Coturnix japonica: one gene and its partner. The protein of the gene in region 1 interacts with the protein of each later gene in a biochemical or structural test. Links are inferred from orthologs where the notes say so. Each region holds a gene or a part of one and is shown in the gene's direction. Other genes may lie near its edges.

The links.
Region 2: the proteins of SLX4 (region 1) and EME1 form a complex in vitro, tested with the Homo sapiens proteins (3 studies listed by BioGRID, with this or other methods). The link is inferred for Coturnix japonica from reciprocal best matches to the Homo sapiens genes SLX4 and EME1.

What each region holds. Positions count from the first base shown.
Region 1 is NC_029529.1:10,977,756-10,981,562, reverse strand, and holds part of SLX4 (structure-specific endonuclease subunit SLX4), read left to right. Parts: intron 1-736; coding exon 737-781; intron 782-900; coding exon 901-1,183; intron 1,184-1,464; coding exon 1,465-1,553; intron 1,554-2,785; coding exon 2,786-2,932; intron 2,933-3,345; coding exon 3,346-3,515; intron 3,516-3,807. UniProt on the Homo sapiens protein: Regulatory subunit that interacts with and increases the activity of different structure-specific endonucleases.
Region 2 is NC_029533.1:9,102,719-9,107,048, reverse strand, and holds the start of EME1 (crossover junction endonuclease EME1), read left to right. Parts: upstream 1-1,453; 5' UTR 1,454-1,495; coding exon 1,496-2,413; intron 2,414-2,615; coding exon 2,616-2,708; intron 2,709-3,166; coding exon 3,167-3,285; intron 3,286-3,720; coding exon 3,721-3,856; intron 3,857-4,330. Other genes in the region: MRPL27 (39S ribosomal protein L27, mitochondrial), read right to left, coding at 179-385, 530-597, 1,029-1,151, 1,280-1,301. UniProt on the Homo sapiens protein: Non-catalytic subunit of the structure-specific, heterodimeric DNA endonuclease MUS81-EME1 which is involved in the maintenance of genome stability. In the complex, EME1 is required for DNA cleavage, participating in DNA recognition and bending.

The sequences.
Region 1 (3,807 bases):
ATCTCCTGCCTATTTCAGTGCTCTGTATTTTTATTAGAAGTGCCTTCAGAGGGGACAAAAGCCTTTTAATCTCTCATCTTACAACATACTTGCTCACCAAGAAGAAATATTACTTCTCTTCCTTCCCCTGTGCCTTCCTTGAAGGATTGTCTGGTGCTTCTGTTCAAAAACTACTCTGTGTATGTACGTGTTTTATTTAAGAACTTTTTTCCTTGTTGGATTCCAGAGTTTTTCACTGTCTTATCCCTACCCAGAGCTGTAATAGAGGGACTCCATTCTGTGAGGATTTTTGACCTCTCACTCAAAAACACCAGAGACGTTTAAAAAGGAGGGAGACCTTTAAAATCAGGGCCATGTTTGCCCATCTCATTCCTTCCATTCTGAGAAATAGCTAGGCCATTTCTACTTAGAAATAAATAAAACTGTTTTCAGTGGGAAACAGAAGTCAAACCTGGAAAATATCAGCTCAGAGGTGAAAGTTTGGCTTTGTTACATGTAACTGCAAAAGTATTTTAGATCTCAGAACAGAAGCACCTGGGCAGCTTCAGCTACAGCTTCTGCCAAACATTTCAGCAATAATGAAATATTTAGATGTTGAATTGGGAACATTTCCACTATCCTCTCTCCCTCCTTGCCAGTTGCCTGCTCAAATATGCACCTTGTGAAACCTCTTTTTCTGTATTTTCTGTTGTAGTTCCCTTTTTCCCTTTTCCCTTTATATCTATCTTTTCTCCAGAGCGTCCTTCATAAGATGACAGAGTTTTTGCCTTGGAAGCCTGAGGTATGCTCTGTAATTCTTTACTAGATATTCTGAAAGTATGAACTAGAGACTGCATTCTGAGCTCTGAAAGTACACACAAGACTTAACTTATTGGTGTCTTATTCTCCTCTTTTGATCAGAATCATAAACCAGAGGATGTTCTGCCATCAGCAGGATCTGATCAGCCAAAAGGATCCCAGCAAATTCAGCCTGATTTTGGTTCTCATGAGTCCACTTGTAGAGACGTTAGAGACCAAATTAGTGATGAATCCAAGTCAGGCCCTGAAGGAGATGGGCAGATTTTATCTCACAGCCAGAAGGATATTCAGAACCTGCAGGATCTAGTTGAACTGGCCAAGGAAGGACTTACCCTTACTCAGTGGAAACTTGATGTTGGCCATACTCATGCAGCAGAGCAGTCAGGTAAGTTCTGGCAGTTTCATGAGCTCTGTCCCTAATCCCTTCAGCTACACAGATCCAAACTTTGGTTGTGCTGTGTCAGGAGAGCCATGAGAGCACCCACAGATTGTTGATGATCCAGGAGGTGAGGCCTGTTGGGACAGGCTGGGATGTCAGCCCCATCAGGCTCACTGTAGCAGCTGTCCTGAGGAACTGCTGTGGCAAAGGTTCTCTTAGGAGTTCTTATGTCACTCTGTCTCGTTAGGAAGGGGTACATGATTGTGATCCACTTTTTCTTCTTTGAGGAAAAGAACTGACTTCCAGTGATACTCCATGTACTGGTTTTGTCCCTTCACTTGAAGAGAGGAGATTCCTGACACGCAGCTGTAAGAAAGTAAGGAAAAACCTTTTCCCCATCCTTATTTTGTGTTTGCTTACTAATGTAAAGAGGAAACTATGCAGTTCATAGAAGTGTGGAATATTTCCAGTTCCTTTTTATAGAAACAGAGGTAGTTAAGGCTCAGAGTTGTGTTGTTCCAGGTGGAACTGCATCTCGTGCAGATGTTCTCTAGAGTAAGACTTGTGTTTCTTTGACTCTGCAACAGGCTTAAAAAGCACAAGGTCAATCCCTAGTGTGTTGTGTATGAACTGCTTTTCACTTGCTCATTCTCTTAACTGTGAGCTGAGGTTATTTCCTGCTTCTCTGAAGCAATGGCCACCTCTAGGGGCACATTTGCCTCGAGAGATCTGAACCTTATGAGAGTTGCTTGGGGTGAGTTTGTACTGGGAGCAGCTCCAGGGCAGAAACTGTGTACATCAGCCATGTGTATTGTTCCTGCCTTTGGCAGCATGCCCCCAGCCTCCTGTTGCCTTTGCCATTTGATATCACAGGTAGCTCAGGCAGCAAGCCCTCCCCAGACTTCCAGCAAGGCATTCTGGAGCTGTAATAGCAACTAGGGGGCTTTTGTTGTTATTGTTTGGGGGCTTTTTTGAGTGGAATTTTCAAGAGGAGTTTGTGTAACGAGCATATAAAATCCTTTGGGCTAGATAACTACATCAGTTTTATTGCATGTGAGCCCCTCACTGCAGAGCTGCTCTTCTTAGCTGTCACTGCCAGCCAATGGATGAGAGGAGAAAAGTTCATTACCCCATCACTGACTCATCCTCTTTCCTCTTGCTCTGATTACAATGAAGTGAGTTCCAGTCCATCAAAGAGAAAAGAACAGTTTTCTAAAATGTGGTGGAAGGCAGCAGATCAAGAGGCCAACAGGAGGCAGTGGCTAGACCGCATCAGGAAATGGTTTGGCAAAAATGTGATGGTGATAATGTGCTGTAATGCAAGGCAGAGAAAGCAGAGTGCAGCACAACTGCCATTTCTTCACAACTGCCAGACTGCGAAGAAGTAGAAGGGAGGAGGAAAACAAATCCAAAAGTGTCTTACAGATTTGTCTGCTTGTTGTACTTGAGTTGATAGTGCTGCTGGTTGTCTGCAGAAGGCAGTGACAGCAGATCCAAAATGGGGTCTGCAATACAGCGATACTGGCAGGCTGGGTATTCCTCTCATTCATCAGGGAGGTGTGTGACAGCTGTGATATGACTTGTCTTTGTGTTCATTCTGTGTTCTAGTCCTCCCTGAGGTCACTGGCTGAAGATTTCAGAGCAATGGTCAACAATCCCCATTTAAGTGATGTCCAGTTCCAGGTGGACTCTGGGGAAATCCTTTATGCTCACATGTTTGTGTTGTATGCACGGTGTCCGGAGGCCATTCAGGCTGTAAGTACTGCTGATACACTTCTCTGTTTTGCTTCAGTGCAGCCCAGACTGCCCACACCTACAGTCAATGCTGCAGGTCCTAATGGCAGGAGCCTGCGGACATGCAGATTCCCTCATCTTAGGAAGGCAGAATTGTGACAAAGTGATGGAAAACATACTACATTATCTGGAGAAATGATGAAGAGGCAAGGATCCTTACTTACATCCTGCCCTTGAGCAATACAGAAAACTTCCTAGGTGCTCTGTGCCTTTGGATGTTATATTAATACCGGTGCAGACTGTCTTCTCCATCTCAATATCTCCTGCCTTTCACCCAGGCTGGGAAGATTGAGTTCTGGGCAGTTCTACACAGACGTTCTGTCATTTTTGTAGTTGCTTTGTAAGTAGCTGCATTGAACTGTGTTTTTTACAAGGTTCACAGTGAAGGGTTCTTAGTGGAGGAGGATGGGAACGTGCAGATACGCCGTGTGTTGCTGAGTGATGTGACAGGAGAGGCAGCCCGTGCGTTCCTGCGGTACCTTTATGCTGCTGATGCTGACATCCCTGCTGAGGTGGTGCCCCAAGTGGGGGCTCTGGCTGCCAGGTTTGTATCGTGAGTTTGTTTTGGATCCCTTCTTGCTTTCAGCTCACAGACAGAACCTATACAGACCCCACAACCTGGGGTCTTCTGTTGTAGACTTAGTGGCTTAAAAATCCATAGTCCTATACTTTATAGCATCATTGCCTTCATCTTTTCCATGAGTCTCTCTTCAGATTGTGTCTTTGTGAGACTTCCTTTTTCAGTGTGCATCTATCACACCTTAGCCAAGAGTTTTGTCTCAGGCTCTGTATTGACAGCTGATGTTATCAGTGATGATGAGTGTGCCTAGCATATG
Region 2 (4,330 bases), on another chromosome or scaffold:
CAATGGCCAGCAGATGATTTCAATGTCTCAACACCAACTACGTGTGCTTTGGGAGCAAGAGAGCAAAGCACAGTTAATTTCAGAGCAAGAATTTCCTTGTCATCTTCAGACAACGGTCCAGCAGCAGTGGTCTGTCCCAGCTGCCTCCTCCCATCCCTTCCTGTGTCACACAGGAGACTCAGAGCATGGTGACCAACTTGAAACTTCCTACTTCTGTGGTAGGGATGACACTGATGAAGGTTTTATAAAGAATTGCACCTTTGGGTAGAGCGCAGATCACCTCCCTGCTCTCGCTGCTGCGTGGTGGGGGTACGTACACCTCCTTAGTGTATCTCACAATCCCATCCTCCAGGGCGTAGAGTGTCTTGTTCCGGCCCATCCCCACCTGTAAAAGAGCCAGGTTGGTGTTAGAAAGTAAAGGCTGGAGGTCGTTCACCGCAGCACACCAGATGCTCTGTCTGTGCTGTGTGATATCCTGGCTTCAGTAGCAGCTGCTGCTTCAGGTTTTGAAATAAAGTTTGTTACTTACGTGAGCCCCTGGATGCCAGCGGATCAATCGCTGGGTGGCCAGAATGTTGCCTGCGTGCACAAATGAACCTGCAACAGAGCGGCAGAATCAGACCACAGAGAAACGGAGCTCCTTGAAGCCCTGAGGCTGGCAGAGGAACAAACAGTTCCAGGAATTAAAGAGCTGTATGTGGGGTTTGTCTATGGAAGAACCGAAACGCAAAAAGCACCTAAAAGAAAATGCCATTAGGAAACAGAGGGCAATTGATAAACAGTGGGGAAATGCAATTTTGGTCTTTGAGGAGATTGCTTCTAGAGCACAAGGTGTTTTCTATTTGCTGAAGCCATTTGTTCTATTACCTTTAACACCGCCGTGTTTCCATGAGCAAACTCACTAATTATTAAGCGCTTTGCTGCACTAATCTGTACTTTGGCTTCCCCACATCGTAACTCTCCCCTTTGTAAACACGTACAACGCACAGCGCCTTATTGCAGCGTGGAGTGTCAGTGCCCGGCCCCACCTTCCACTTTCTTCACCCCGTATCGCTTCCCGGGGCTGCGGCCTCCCAGGTTCTTGGAGCTGCCCCCGGATTTCTTGGAGGCCCATCGGACAGCGGTCAGCGCCGGAGGAGAGACCGACAGGACTGGAAGGGAACGAGAACAACAACACAGACGTGAAGGAACGTTTGGGGTTTATCTTTCCCGATTTAGAGGCTCCGTCCCGTCCCTCAGCACCATCCCGGCCCTCAGCCCCGTCCCGCCGCGCACTCACCCCGCCGCCCCCACGCCGCCATCTTTACCCCGCCGCCATCTTGCACCGCCCCGTCCCTTCCCCTTCCAGGGCGGTGAGAAGCGATTGGTCCGGACACAAGCGTGCACGCGCACTCGGACCAATCAGCTCCCGCTGTAGGCGCACGCGCTCGGGATCCGGCCAGTCAGCGCGCAGCGCGCCAAACGCCCGCTCCAACGGCCGCCCCGTGAGCGGGAAATGGCGGCGGCCGCGGGCAGCGCTGAGGAGCTGCCGCCATCCATGGAGGAGCTGCCGGCATCCATTGAGGAGCTGCCGCCATCCATCGAGGAGCTGCCGCCATCCATTGAGGAGCTGCCGCCCCTCGCTGCTCTGCTGCAGCCGCTCCCCACTGCCGGGTCCGCCCCCGCCGGGGCCTCGTGTCCCTCAGTGAGGCCGGGGGGCGGCGTCGTGGTGCTGAGCAGCGATAGCGAGGACGAGGTAGAGGTCGCCCCGCTGTCCGAGCGCCTGAGGCGGAGGCTGGTTCCTCCCTCGGCGGGTGTCGGGGCTGGAGCGGGGGGACGCGGCCTTTGTCCCAGCGATGGGCGCCGTGAGCTGCTGCTGGTGGATGATGGCGGGGACTCGGCTCTGCTGCCGCCCGACGGACGTTCCGTCAGCCCCGTTAGTGCGCCCGGTGCCGGCGGACACTCGTTACCGCCCGCAGCTGCTGTGACCGAGCGGCCCGAGGGGGCTCCGGGGAGCGGAGGACGTGAGGGAGCATCTCCCCCTCCGAAGAAAGCCAAGTACAGCCAGCAGGAACGGGGGGCGGTTTGCAGGGCGGGCTGCGAGAGGAGAAAGGAGCGGGAAGCGCGGAAAAGGCAACAGGAGGAGGAGAGAGAGAGGAGGAAGGTGCTGGGCCAAGTGCTGAAGGCGCAACGGCCGGGGCAGTGCCAGAAATACATCAGTGCCGTGCTGGACACAGGTACCGGGCAGCACGACCGGCCTCACGGCAGCTCCTGCCGCAGGAACCTGACCCGTGTGCCCATGTCAGCTCTCTTACAGCTGGAAGGTGGAGCACAGATCCGCGCTGCTTTGCAGGCTGCAAATTACTCGTGTGTGGTGGAGAGCCAGGCTGTGCCCTGCAGCGTTACCTGGAGGAGGAAGGCAGTGTTGGCTCAGGTGCGGGGACAACATCTTGATTCTCTTGCTGCCCTTTTCTTCCCACGTTGTTCGCACTTGATAATAATTGTTTTTAGCATCCCAAGCAAACATTCCTTAAACCATTTCCCTACCTCAAGTTGAGAGCACTGCTTTGATTTTGAATTGCAAACAGCGTGTTAGCTTGGCTGGTTTTTTTTATTGTTTTCCTTTATCTGGGCAGGCTGAGGATGGTAATGAATGGACAGAAGAGCCAAATCTCCTGGTTCTGCTTGGCTTGGAAGAGTTCCTGTCTATGGTTCATAGCTACAAGCAAGTAAGTCTGCTTACGAGTTTTGTGCTGTCTCAATGTGCTTTTCTGGAGAGGCAGCTGGTATTTGCTGTCCCTTTTCAGTTGGAAGTTATGATTTTAGTAAGTCATAAGTCTGATTTTTAGAAGCCTGTACTTGATTAAAAACACTGAGATTGTCTAAGGCAGAGTTCTGGCAAGCTCTCTTTCCTAGCTACTGTTTTTCAGAGGCTTTTTAAGAAGTAACATTATCTTAATAGATGTTGTCAGGTCAAGTATGTTGTGGGGCTTTTTGTATGTTTTGTTATTATTGTTTTCTTTACTGTAACTTGTTACTAGATGAAGCGCTGTCTGCTGGCACCTGAGGCTACAGGAGCAGAACTTCACTTATGCTGAGACTTAGCCGCAACATCGGGCGATACCTTGCTGGGCTTGTCTGTGCAACTCGGAATGATCCCACTCCTTTTTTCTATTGATCTTTGCAGGCGGCCCGGGGCTGTGCAGAACAGAAGGAGACTTTACAGAGCTTTGTAGCTCGTGTGATGGAAAAAATGCCTGGGAAAATTCTGGCTCTAACAGTTGTTGAAGTAGAAAAATATTTCAGGTTAGAATTTTTCTCCTCAAATATGTCGGTGTTGTTTCACTTAAAAAGGCAGCAAGTGTTTTACATCAATTCCTTCTGGCGAAGACTGGAGCATATAAAGAATTCCCATCCAGAACTGTCCCACATCTCTTACATAGGAACAGAAGCAAAGGTCTATCTGACTTGTCACCACATTGCCCAGTAATAAATATCTTGGGAAGTGTGCAAGGGTGTCAAAAGTATTCACAGCTACTTTCTTGAAAGGCTTTTGTGGCTTAAAAATAAATAAATAAATGCAGCAGAGAGGAATTTTCTTAGTCAGATGTAATGTTTTGTATTTAATAGACCTTCTCTACAGATTCAGCCTCTCTTAACACAGGGTGTTGGTACTGAGTTGTTTTATGTTCCACAGCAGCCCAGCCCTTCTGAATTCCCAATCTGATCTTCCTCTCTTAGATGTCTCAGAGCTCAGTCAAAAAAGAGACTGCAACAGACAACAGTGAATAGAAGCCAGGGAGAAGATGGGGGAGATCAGAGGAAGAAACAAGTTAATCATCCTGGCCTGGAGATCACCAGACTGGATGTGGAAGATGTGAGTAGAACAAGTCTGCAGTTGTTGTCTGCCACTACTTGAACACTCGACCCCATCACATGCTTTTTAGGACTGGGATCTTCAGCTTTTGTTGATTTATGTACAATCAGCAGAGCTCTTTTAGTTCCCTTCTTCTCAGTTATAAACCTGCTCTTTCATGGGCTAACATGCCTTGTTCACCTTGATTCTGGAAGTGAAAAATGAATCTGTTAGCATTTCCTGTACTTCATGGCCTACTGGTAAAGCCAATTGTTGCTGTCCAGGGTGAGTTGCCTGCATGTTATGGGAATCTTCCAGCTGATCTGGCACTGAATTACTATTAAACAGCAGCAAAGTAACCCTGAACACTTTGCCTTAAGCCGTTTCCAAAATAGGAATGGGTGTGACTTACACCAAGATGTTAGGACTGGTTGTTGTTGCTTCAGTCATGAATGGAGTTTGATGTAAGAGGATGAGTTGTTCCATCTGCTGTTT